Linked DNA regions of Drosophila melanogaster. The protein of the gene in region 1 interacts with the protein of each later gene in a pairwise test. Each region holds a gene or a part of one and is shown in the gene's direction. Other genes may lie near its edges. The genes, in order: CG2812 and Tpc1.

Region 1 (4,160 bases):
AAAGGTTCAGACTATAATGGACTATAAGGAAACACCCAGTGATAATAAAATGTCTTTGGTAAAGAGTATAAACAGATTGCCTACATATATCGATATATCAAGATACAAACTATTCATTGCCCGAACTTTGTATGAAACCTGGTTGTGTGTATCTCATCAGTGCATTTCTCGGCGGGAGCAACTGCTCCTTTCATCTCCATACCTATCATAATCCTTATATGTTGTGTCAATGTGATGTTGCTAATGCTCACCCTTCTATCAATAATAACTCTATCAAATTATTCTCAACACCGAGTACTTCTGAGTAATGTCTTTTTCTACAATAATCTAAAAAATAGTCTTATATGGTTCTTCATTCCCCAGGAATGATTAACTTTAATATTCCTTTAATTGATTGAGTTTTTCAAATTTAATAAAAGTTTAAATATCGAATAACAAGTGTACTTAAGAATTGTCGGTAATCTTTACAATCAAATTCTTTATTTTAATTTAAAGCATTGGGACTTTGGATCCCATCTATAAGTTCAACTACCAATAGGGAAATAAAGTTGAAATAGAGTTTCCTGCTTTGCGGTTTGCATCCCGAGAATAGTTACTCCCTCCTCTGATATTGGCCTCCCACTTTTCCGCAACCTTTTCTCATACTCCTCATGGTGACATTTTCAGGTTCAAACAATTGTAGACCACCATTATGACGCCACCAAAACGGCGTCTAAAGTTCGCTTCGCCGATCCAACTATAGAAGAAACACAGCATCACGTATGTACTGCCTTAAGATTTTTATTTACCATTGTCTCTTATCTCTCGAAATACACATATGACATAAGTAAAGTTAAGTGAGATCGACGACTCATCAAATGTAAGCCTGAAACATTTTAGTTTTGAAGCATAATCAACAGTAGCAATCGAAATCCATTCCCGAGTTATCTTGAGTTTTGTTCTAACTGATATTTTGGCTTCTTAACATGGTTGATTTGAAATGAACTTTTGAGTTTTTAATGTCGACGGCACTTGTCATCCAAAACTCAAGGCTAATGCCACGCTAAAGATCTGATAATGTGACTAATTGTAATTCTGCAGGATTCTCAAAACGACGAGAAACGTAACTCAATTGATTTGGATGGTCCCGAGAACGCGGACACACCCGAAACTACTTCTAACAAGGATGAATCGACAGAGAAAGCCGACGGAGACTTCAAGTCCAGTGTGAAACCGTATGGAACAGCTCTCTTATGGCCCACTTTACGGTGTCCTAATTGTCCTTATATTTCTTTCCACAGGGATGAGTTCAACGTTCGTCGCATGCACACAGCAATAAAACTAAACGAGGTTATTGTAGAAAAGTCACAGGACGCCCAGTTGGTCATAATGAATCTACCTGGACCACCTAGGGAAGTGAGAGCGGAGCGTGAAAGAAATTGTAAGATCTGAAAGGGGAATGTATCTGAGGCACAAACTAACCCGTTTATATCCAATCCGTAGATATGGAATTTCTGGAGGTATTAACAGAGGGCCTTGAAAAAGTGTTAATGGTTCGCGGAGGAGGCCGAGAAGTTATAACAATTTACTCTTAAGAGCATTAATCGCTCAGTTTTATAAGAGTTCGCAACACTAGACAAGTTTAAGAATCAATCAAATTTTTAAAGAAGGTTATTAATTTGTTATATTCAATCATATGTCCAAATATTTTATTTTTACGTAAATAAAATATCAAAAAATTGTAACAATAAGAACCGAAGGCGTTTATCATTTGGTCTACATCTACACACATACCCTGGCCGCGTCGCTTGGAAACGGAGTAAACAGCGTTTGCAAGATACTTTACCTGTCTTTCTACAATCGCGACGTAAAATCAGATGCATCTGGCAGATTGACCAACACTGCTACTCGATGGTTTCTCCCCACTTTTGTTATTTCAACCGTGGCGAGTTGTACGTTCTATTACCTCGGATGGCTTAGAAACTGTGTGGTCGAAACAGAAACGATCCAAGCTCCAGAAAATACTCGAAATAAGTGTGAAAAACTGTATAGATCCTCGGAAAATACACCATTCATGAATCCGGAATCGAGGGACCTGGATTTGAGAAAGGTGCGAGTGCTGGCCTGCCATCGAAGGTGGCTCTGTTTATTTTGAACACGCAAGCAACTTTCGGTATCCAGCTAACAAAAGAATCTAAACATATGCATCTGGGTTGATCCGAGTGACATGTACCCCATTCATTGATTGACCATTTTCTCTGCCACAGGGCGATGTCGAGAGGCCGCACTTCGAGGCGGTTACCACACTGTCCGACTCGCAGGCGATCCGGAGCGTCGACTTTCATCCGAATGGAAAGTTGTACGCGGTGGGCTCCAACTCCAAGACCTTCCGCATCTGCCAGTACCCCGCGCTGTCCAAGCTGAGGTAATTAAATCGCAGTGTGTCGCAACTCGTCTTTGCCTTCAACTCGTTTCCCATCCCAATCCCATGCAGACATGGACACCAGGCAGCGGTGTATCCCCCGTCCGTTCTCTGCAAGCGCACGAAACACCATCGGGGCTCCATATACTGCACCTGCTGGTCACGGGATGGGGAGCTAATTGCCACCGGATCGAACGACAAGACCATCAAGTACATGCGCTTCAACAACGACACCAACCAGCTGGTGGGACACGAGATGGAGCTGAACATGCACGACGGCACGGTGCGGGACATGTGCTTCCTGGACGACTCGTCCACCAAGTCCCGGCTGCTGGCGAGCGGCGGCGCCGGGGACTGCAAGATCTACATCACAGACTGCGGAACCGGCACTCCCTTCCAGGCCTACAGTGGTCATACTGGCCACATCCTGTCCCTCTACAGCTGGAACAACGCGATGTTCGTGTCGGGATCGCAGGTGAGTCGGGGGAAGATCCTTCCCAGCCTGTCCCAGCTATAACCATATGCGATGATCTCTTTCAGGATCAAACGATACGTTTCTGGGATCTGCGAGTGAATGTCTCTGTGAATACGCTGGATAACGATCGAAAGGATGGTGGTCTGGAGAGCTCCGCTGTAACCGCGGTCTGTGTAGATCCCACCGGCAGGCTGCTAGTCTCTGGGCACGCTGACAGCTCCTGTACTCTGTACGACATCCGTGGCAACCGGCCCATTCAGCGCTTCTATCCGCACACCGCTGAAATAAGGTAGTAGAGCTATCCTCTCCCGCTTGGCATTTGGTAAAATTGGCTTTCACTTCCCCAAAGGTGCGTCCGATTCTCCCCATCCGCCTACTACATGCTGACGTGCAGCTACGACAACTCGATCCGGCTGACGGACCTGCAAGGCGACCTGGCCCACGAGCTGTCCTCCGTGGTGGTGGCGGAGCACAAGGACAAGGCCATCACCATCCGATGGCATCCGACCGAGTTCTCCTTCATCTCCACGTCGGCGGACAAGACGGCCACCCTCTGGGCGCTGCCGCCCTCGTAGCTCCGTGGTCCAATGTTCCGGTCCAGTGGCGGCTTTAAATTCGTTGTCGATATTGTACTTCCGCAGAATAGTTCAGACTGATCTAATTTATTGAATAAACCCATTCCAACAGATAAAGGAAAATGAAACAGGGCCGTTCTAATTTATATATTTGGTATATATTTATTTAAATCCGTTCTTACTAACCCACAGTTCCATTAATATTTTACTTTCTAAGGCAAATAAATTGATTTATGTTGGATTTAATGTTGCAGTTGCAAGTAACAGGGCTGGCTTAGCGATTAATACACGAATGATAAAGGCAGGAAAACTCGTCCTCCTTCACATTCACTTTCACATTCGTATCGGCTTTGGTGGTCCAAACCTCTACATCCTGTCGACGACGACATCAGGAACTACAATTTCGGGGCGAATACGGATTATTACGTGGCGATTCTCGATCGGAGGGAGGGATTAACCAACGCAAGAGCAAACCAAAACTCGTGGGGGAAATGGCGATGGAGTGGCACTGGGTACCAGTTAAGCGGCATCTTCCGAAATTCTGGAATTTGGCAGCATCGGTGGGGGATCGTACTTACAGCCTAGTGGTTTGGAGTTTCTTGGGGGAGATGTTTGAGTGTGCTTGATTCTCTACTTGGATTGGAGGCGGGGCGGGAGAAATTGAATTGAGTAGAGTAGAGTACACAGGCCGGGTTCGGATTTCTTGTTT
Region 2 (5,121 bases), on another chromosome or scaffold:
CAAATTAATCCAATTGCAGCGATCTTTATAACCATAAATGGATACGGCGAGACGCGTTGGCAGGAAAGCGAGGAGCGAGTGGGAGAGGATGGGAAGACGACCAAGTCCCTGGTGACCCACACCACCACCGAGGTCTACTACAGCACTGACCAGCCGGTTTACGGCCAGGCCGGTGGCTCGCAGCTGGAGTTGCCCACCGGCAAGTACGTCTTTCCCTTCCGGGCTACCATTCCGCCCAATGCACCCACCTCATTCAATGGTGCTCATGGTCAGATTAAGCACGAGGTTACCCTAACCATCGATCGCGCGGTTCGCTACAACAACACATTTAAGCAGTGCTTCACGGTGATCCTGCCACATGATCTTAATAGGCGGCTCGAGTATAAGGTATGTAGTCTTGGTTGTTCTTCCAAACTGAATAACCTTATGAAGCGCACTTCCCTTAGGAACCCCTCCAACGCTTGGAGTCGAAGAGCTTCTGGTGGGGCTCCATTTTCGGTGCCCACAAGCCGATGATCATGGACGTGAGCACCTCTTATTCTGCCTACGTCCCCGGCCAGAAGATTCATTTCCATCTGGTGTTGGACAACCAGTCGGATGTCCAATGTATGGACGTGAAGGTGCGTCTGATCAAGAACGTCTCATATAGAGCCAACTCATCGGGCGCAAAGGAGCAGTTGAAGGTAACCGAATCTCGGGTGGCGGACAAGCACTGCGGTGAGGTGCTGAAGCACAACAAGGCCAAGTTCGATGAGTTCCTCACGGTGCCGCCAACTACTCCATCCACGCAAAGCGAAAAGGATCCCATTCGAGTTAGCTACACATTGCGATTCATCGCCAAGACCTTCAAGCTGCACGGTGGTGGCGACTTGGTCATGGACTTTCCAATAACCATTGGCACAGTGCCGCTGCTGGGAAGTGCTGATGACAAGGGGCCCGGGGCGGAGAAGTCCCAGCCCAGTGGTGCCTCTCATCCAGGTGGGTTTTGCACTAAAGAAAGCATAATCGAAAGTGTTATTAATCGACGTTTCTCCGGCTTAGGCTCACCCAACTTTCAGGAGGACGTCAGCGATGAGCAATTCGAGTCCAACACCTTTAAGCCAAGATATCCCGTCTATCCATTTGATGGGAAGCCTGGAACCAATGGCTCAAACGGGGCAGCTAATTTTCCCAGTCTTTATCCCAAGGCAGAGGAGGCGCATCCTGCTACGCCTGTGAAATTCACACCAAATCCTGTGTCGCCAGCCGCACAAAAATCGCCACCATATACGACCAACACACCTGTTGCTTCTCCGCCAGGCGGTAATTTTGAGGTGCTTGGATTCAGTATACCACCAGACTATAAACCCACGCCTAGTGCTCCAGCCGCCTCTTCCACTGGCGGCATTGGGTGGAAATAGGGACCATAACTTAACCATTTTGTATTCTACACCTTAAGGCATTTTTAAATATACAAGAAAGCCCGCATAAGTGGCAACGCTGTGCATGTGACAGCTATATTAATATCGATAGTTAGTATCATTTTAATCCTAAATGGCCTTTTATTAACTCGAGTATAAACATAGTGATCTGGTTTCAGGAATTATGCTTACTATTAAAAAATATTTATGTTCCCAATTAAGAAAACCCTAAAACTGAATTTTAGCTTCTAGCTATTTTCTTACTATTGTTGTCAACCACGATAGCCGATAGTTGCCATCGCTGTTCGCTAAAAGCTCATCGCCAGCGGCTCGAACAGCTGATTCCGTGCACTTGGCGACGTAATTTAGTTTGTTTTGTTGTTGTTGCGTAGAGGTTTGAAGCAGCGCGTCTTGAATTCGGAAAACCAGTTTGTGGAAGTGGGAAGCGGCCAACTTGGACAGCGGCAGCAGGGGATTGACACAACTGCAACGGCATCTCAACGGCGGCGCTATTACAAGTCTGGCGAAAAGAAAGTTTTGACGCAATCCACGGGCCGCCGCCTGTAATGAAGAAGCGTCGGCGCCGCAGTCACTGCTGCACTCTGCCCGCGAACGGACGCATCTGCTCCAGGTGAGCTCAGATTGTAGTGCGCTGCTCTGGACATTCAGCAACATCATCATCATCACCATCGAGCGTGTTGCCAATGCCTTTGTCTCTTTATCTGAGCAGCAGCATCGGAATTTTGGGAACTGGACAACGGTCGCCGAGACATCGAACAACAAAAGCGGAAAAAAGTGAAATCGCTGATAAACCCGAATACCAACCGAGCTATTGTCAATCAATGAACGGCCGTTTGAACCTGGAGTCAACTTGGGAGCTCTGCGAATTGGCGGGCAATTGGCCATAACCGACCGAGATAATAGTGAAGTAATCGCAGAGACATACGCACGCTCCGTGGAGCATGATACTTGTAAGTCTCATCCTCAGATGAATTCCACTCCTACTATTTCCCAATTCCTGTCTACGCACTTGTACACAACAATTTGTCCATCGACTTTGATGAATGTGTGTAAACAAGTCGAAGTTTGCGCCCTGCCGCACCTCTAAAACGTTTTGAATGAAAGCTACAGGCAAGCTTTGCTAAGTCGGATTTTCGAAAACTCCATCTTTGATACCAGTAAAACCTAGCATATTTCATTTTTATCAAGAAACAATCTTAAGCTTTCTTTTTAACAGCATCTACCTTGAATTTCACAAGAGTCAAGTAAATTACAAGTAACCTTCAAAACAAATTCTTTATGATAATATATAAGCTATACCTATTAGATCCAGCCTCATAGAAGTTGCTAAGTCCGAGTTAATAGTTGCATCTACATAGTTCCGACTGTAATAACGTCTCCACCTGTCTGCGTTTCTTTATTTTCAGAAATGCCATTGAAAAGTTGGCAGTCGCAGCAATAAAAGTGAAATCCGCACGAGCAAACATACGCACACGAAAAGCAAAACCAAAGGTAGCTCCGACGCAGACATGGCGGTAACCACAGGCTCCACCAGTGAGGCGACCACAACCACAACTCCCGTTCCGCGACGCAAGCACAGTACGCGGGAGCAGCTGCATCAAATGCTGGCCGGTGGACTTTCGGCGGCCATTACGCGCTCCACCTGCCAGCCGCTGGACGTGCTAAAGATCCGCTTCCAGCTGCAGGTGGAGCCGCTGGGCAAGAACGCCGCCAAGGAGGGACCAGGAGCCCTTACCTCCAAATACACATCCATCGGACAGGCGGTGAAAACCATATACCGCGAGGAGGGAATGTTGGCCTTCTGGAAGGGACACAATCCTGCCCAAGTGCTGAGCATAATGTACGGCATTTGTCAGTTCTGGACGTACGAGCAGCTCAGCCTGATGGCCAAACAGACCAGCTATCTGGCGGATCATCAGCATCTATCGAACTTCCTGTGCGGCGCTGCGGCCGGAGGAGCAGCAGTGATCATATCCACGCCGCTGGACGTCATCCGCACTCGTCTGATTGCCCAGGACACCAGCAAGGGATACAGGAATGCAACAAGGGCTGTGTCGGCGATTGTCCGCCAGGAGGGACCTCGCGGCATGTACCGCGGTCTGTCCTCCGCCCTGCTGCAAATAACGCCGCTGATGGGCACCAACTTTATGGCTTACCGCCTGTTCAGCGACTGGGCGTGTGCCTTCTTGGAGGTGAGCGATCGCAGCCAATTGCCCACGTGGACGCTGCTGGGATTGGGCGCCTCCTCGGGCATGCTATCCAAGACGATCGTGTATCCCTTCGATTTGATCAAAAAGCGACTGCAAATCCAGGGCTTCGAGTCGAATCGCCAGACCTTCGGACAGACACTGCAGTGCCACGGAGTCTGGGACTGTTTGCGGCTGACCGTGCGCCAAGAGGGCGTTAGGGGCTTGTACAAGGGCGTGGCCCCCACACTCCTTAAGTCAAGCATGACGACGGCCCTGTACTTCAGCATTTACGATAAGCTCAAGCAGGTGCGCTTCTAGGTCGGACTTGGAGTCGGGGTTAATGGCGTCTGAAAGCAATTGTGCGCCCAAACGGAATCTACACTGTATTTTCTATTTTTATATATATTTACCGCAGCGCGTAAATAATATTAAGACTTAGGCTAACTCTGTTGATTAGTTTTCGGTTGTGCGTATCTTTTCTGGGGGTTCTGTTTATCATAGACCAATTGACTTGGTCAGCGCTTTAGTACACACACGAATAGTTGGCGCACCAGTTAAGTTATAGATTGTATGTGCTAGGTTGTAGTTCATTATTCGGCAGAGCACCTCTATTCACAGACACATTCAAATTTTTATTTATCTTTTGTTTGATTCGCAAACGAAACGACTGCGCTGGCAGTTCATTTGATATTTAATTAATATTATTACACCTAAGTATTCAGGGAATTTAATAAATTTGACTACATCACAACAGTTTAATAACTTTTATTTTTAATGAGTATTGTCCCTGCCTCCTAAGATTTAATTCTTCATATTTTTCTCATAATCTTTAAGCTTAAATGTTTCTTCCAATTGGAATAATTAGTTTTATGAACATGTTATTGAGTTGCAGCTGTTAAACTCCAAACATAATCAATGTTAAGAAAAGCTCGCTGCTGTGAGCTTTTTTGGTTGTGAAATTTAAACGGTGATGCATGCAGTGTATAAAAGGAAATGTATCTTTGGGAACAACAATACAGTTACTTCAGCGATTTCCCGTCCGGAGAGAAAATGGCTCTTGTGAAGACGTACACCATCGACAATAACTCCATTCCATGGATTCTGTGGCTACCGCCATTAACGGAAGTGGATAGGAAATCGCCGGGTGGGAGGTTCACATTTGATGGGCCAAAGGTGGTGGCGTTTCACTTTGTTAAGAACCGGCACGGAGACACGTTGGACAAGTGGATAAGTCTGCTCGATGAGTTGGCACAGGAGTACGCCGGTCGTATATTGTTCGGATTGCGTGACATCTCCAACATCGGGGAGTTCAATCCGAACCTAAATCCCGACGACTTTGGCAGCTACCGGAAGGGATTGCCACCGCGAATCTATGGCAAGGACTGTGAGGGCCGAGTGTACGATATGCACAAGCTGGTCAACGCCAAATACCTGAGGGAGTTTTGCGACCAGTTGCTGGCGGATCAACTCTTCCGTGCCGTAGTCCTGGGCGCCACTGCCTCACTGGACTC

What was found.
Region 2: the proteins of CG2812 (region 1) and Tpc1 interact in a two-hybrid assay, tested with the Drosophila melanogaster proteins (one large-scale study listed by BioGRID).

Annotation. Positions count from the first base shown.
Region 1 is NT_033778.4:23,923,336-23,927,495, forward strand, and holds CG2812 (uncharacterized protein), read left to right. Parts: upstream 1-1,900; 5' UTR 1,901-2,053; coding exon 2,054-2,089; exon of another isoform or gene 2,090-2,246; coding exon 2,247-2,404; exon of another isoform or gene 2,405-2,473; coding exon 2,474-2,876; exon of another isoform or gene 2,877-2,941; coding exon 2,942-3,165; exon of another isoform or gene 3,166-3,225; coding exon 3,226-3,451; 3' UTR 3,452-3,576; downstream 3,577-4,160. Other genes in the region: kcc (kazachoc), read left to right, coding at 5-58, 667-759, 1,081-1,214, 1,281-1,420, 1,483-1,574.
Region 2 is NT_033777.3:10,878,813-10,883,933, reverse strand, and holds Tpc1 (thiamine pyrophosphate carrier protein 1), read left to right. Parts: upstream 1-1,745; 5' UTR 1,746-2,371; intron 2,372-2,827; 5' UTR 2,828-2,929; coding exon 2,930-3,928; 3' UTR 3,929-4,362; downstream 4,363-5,121. Other genes in the region: CG14696 (uncharacterized protein), read left to right, coding at 20-387, 447-978, 1,042-1,400; CG14695 (uncharacterized protein), read left to right, coding at 4,661-5,121.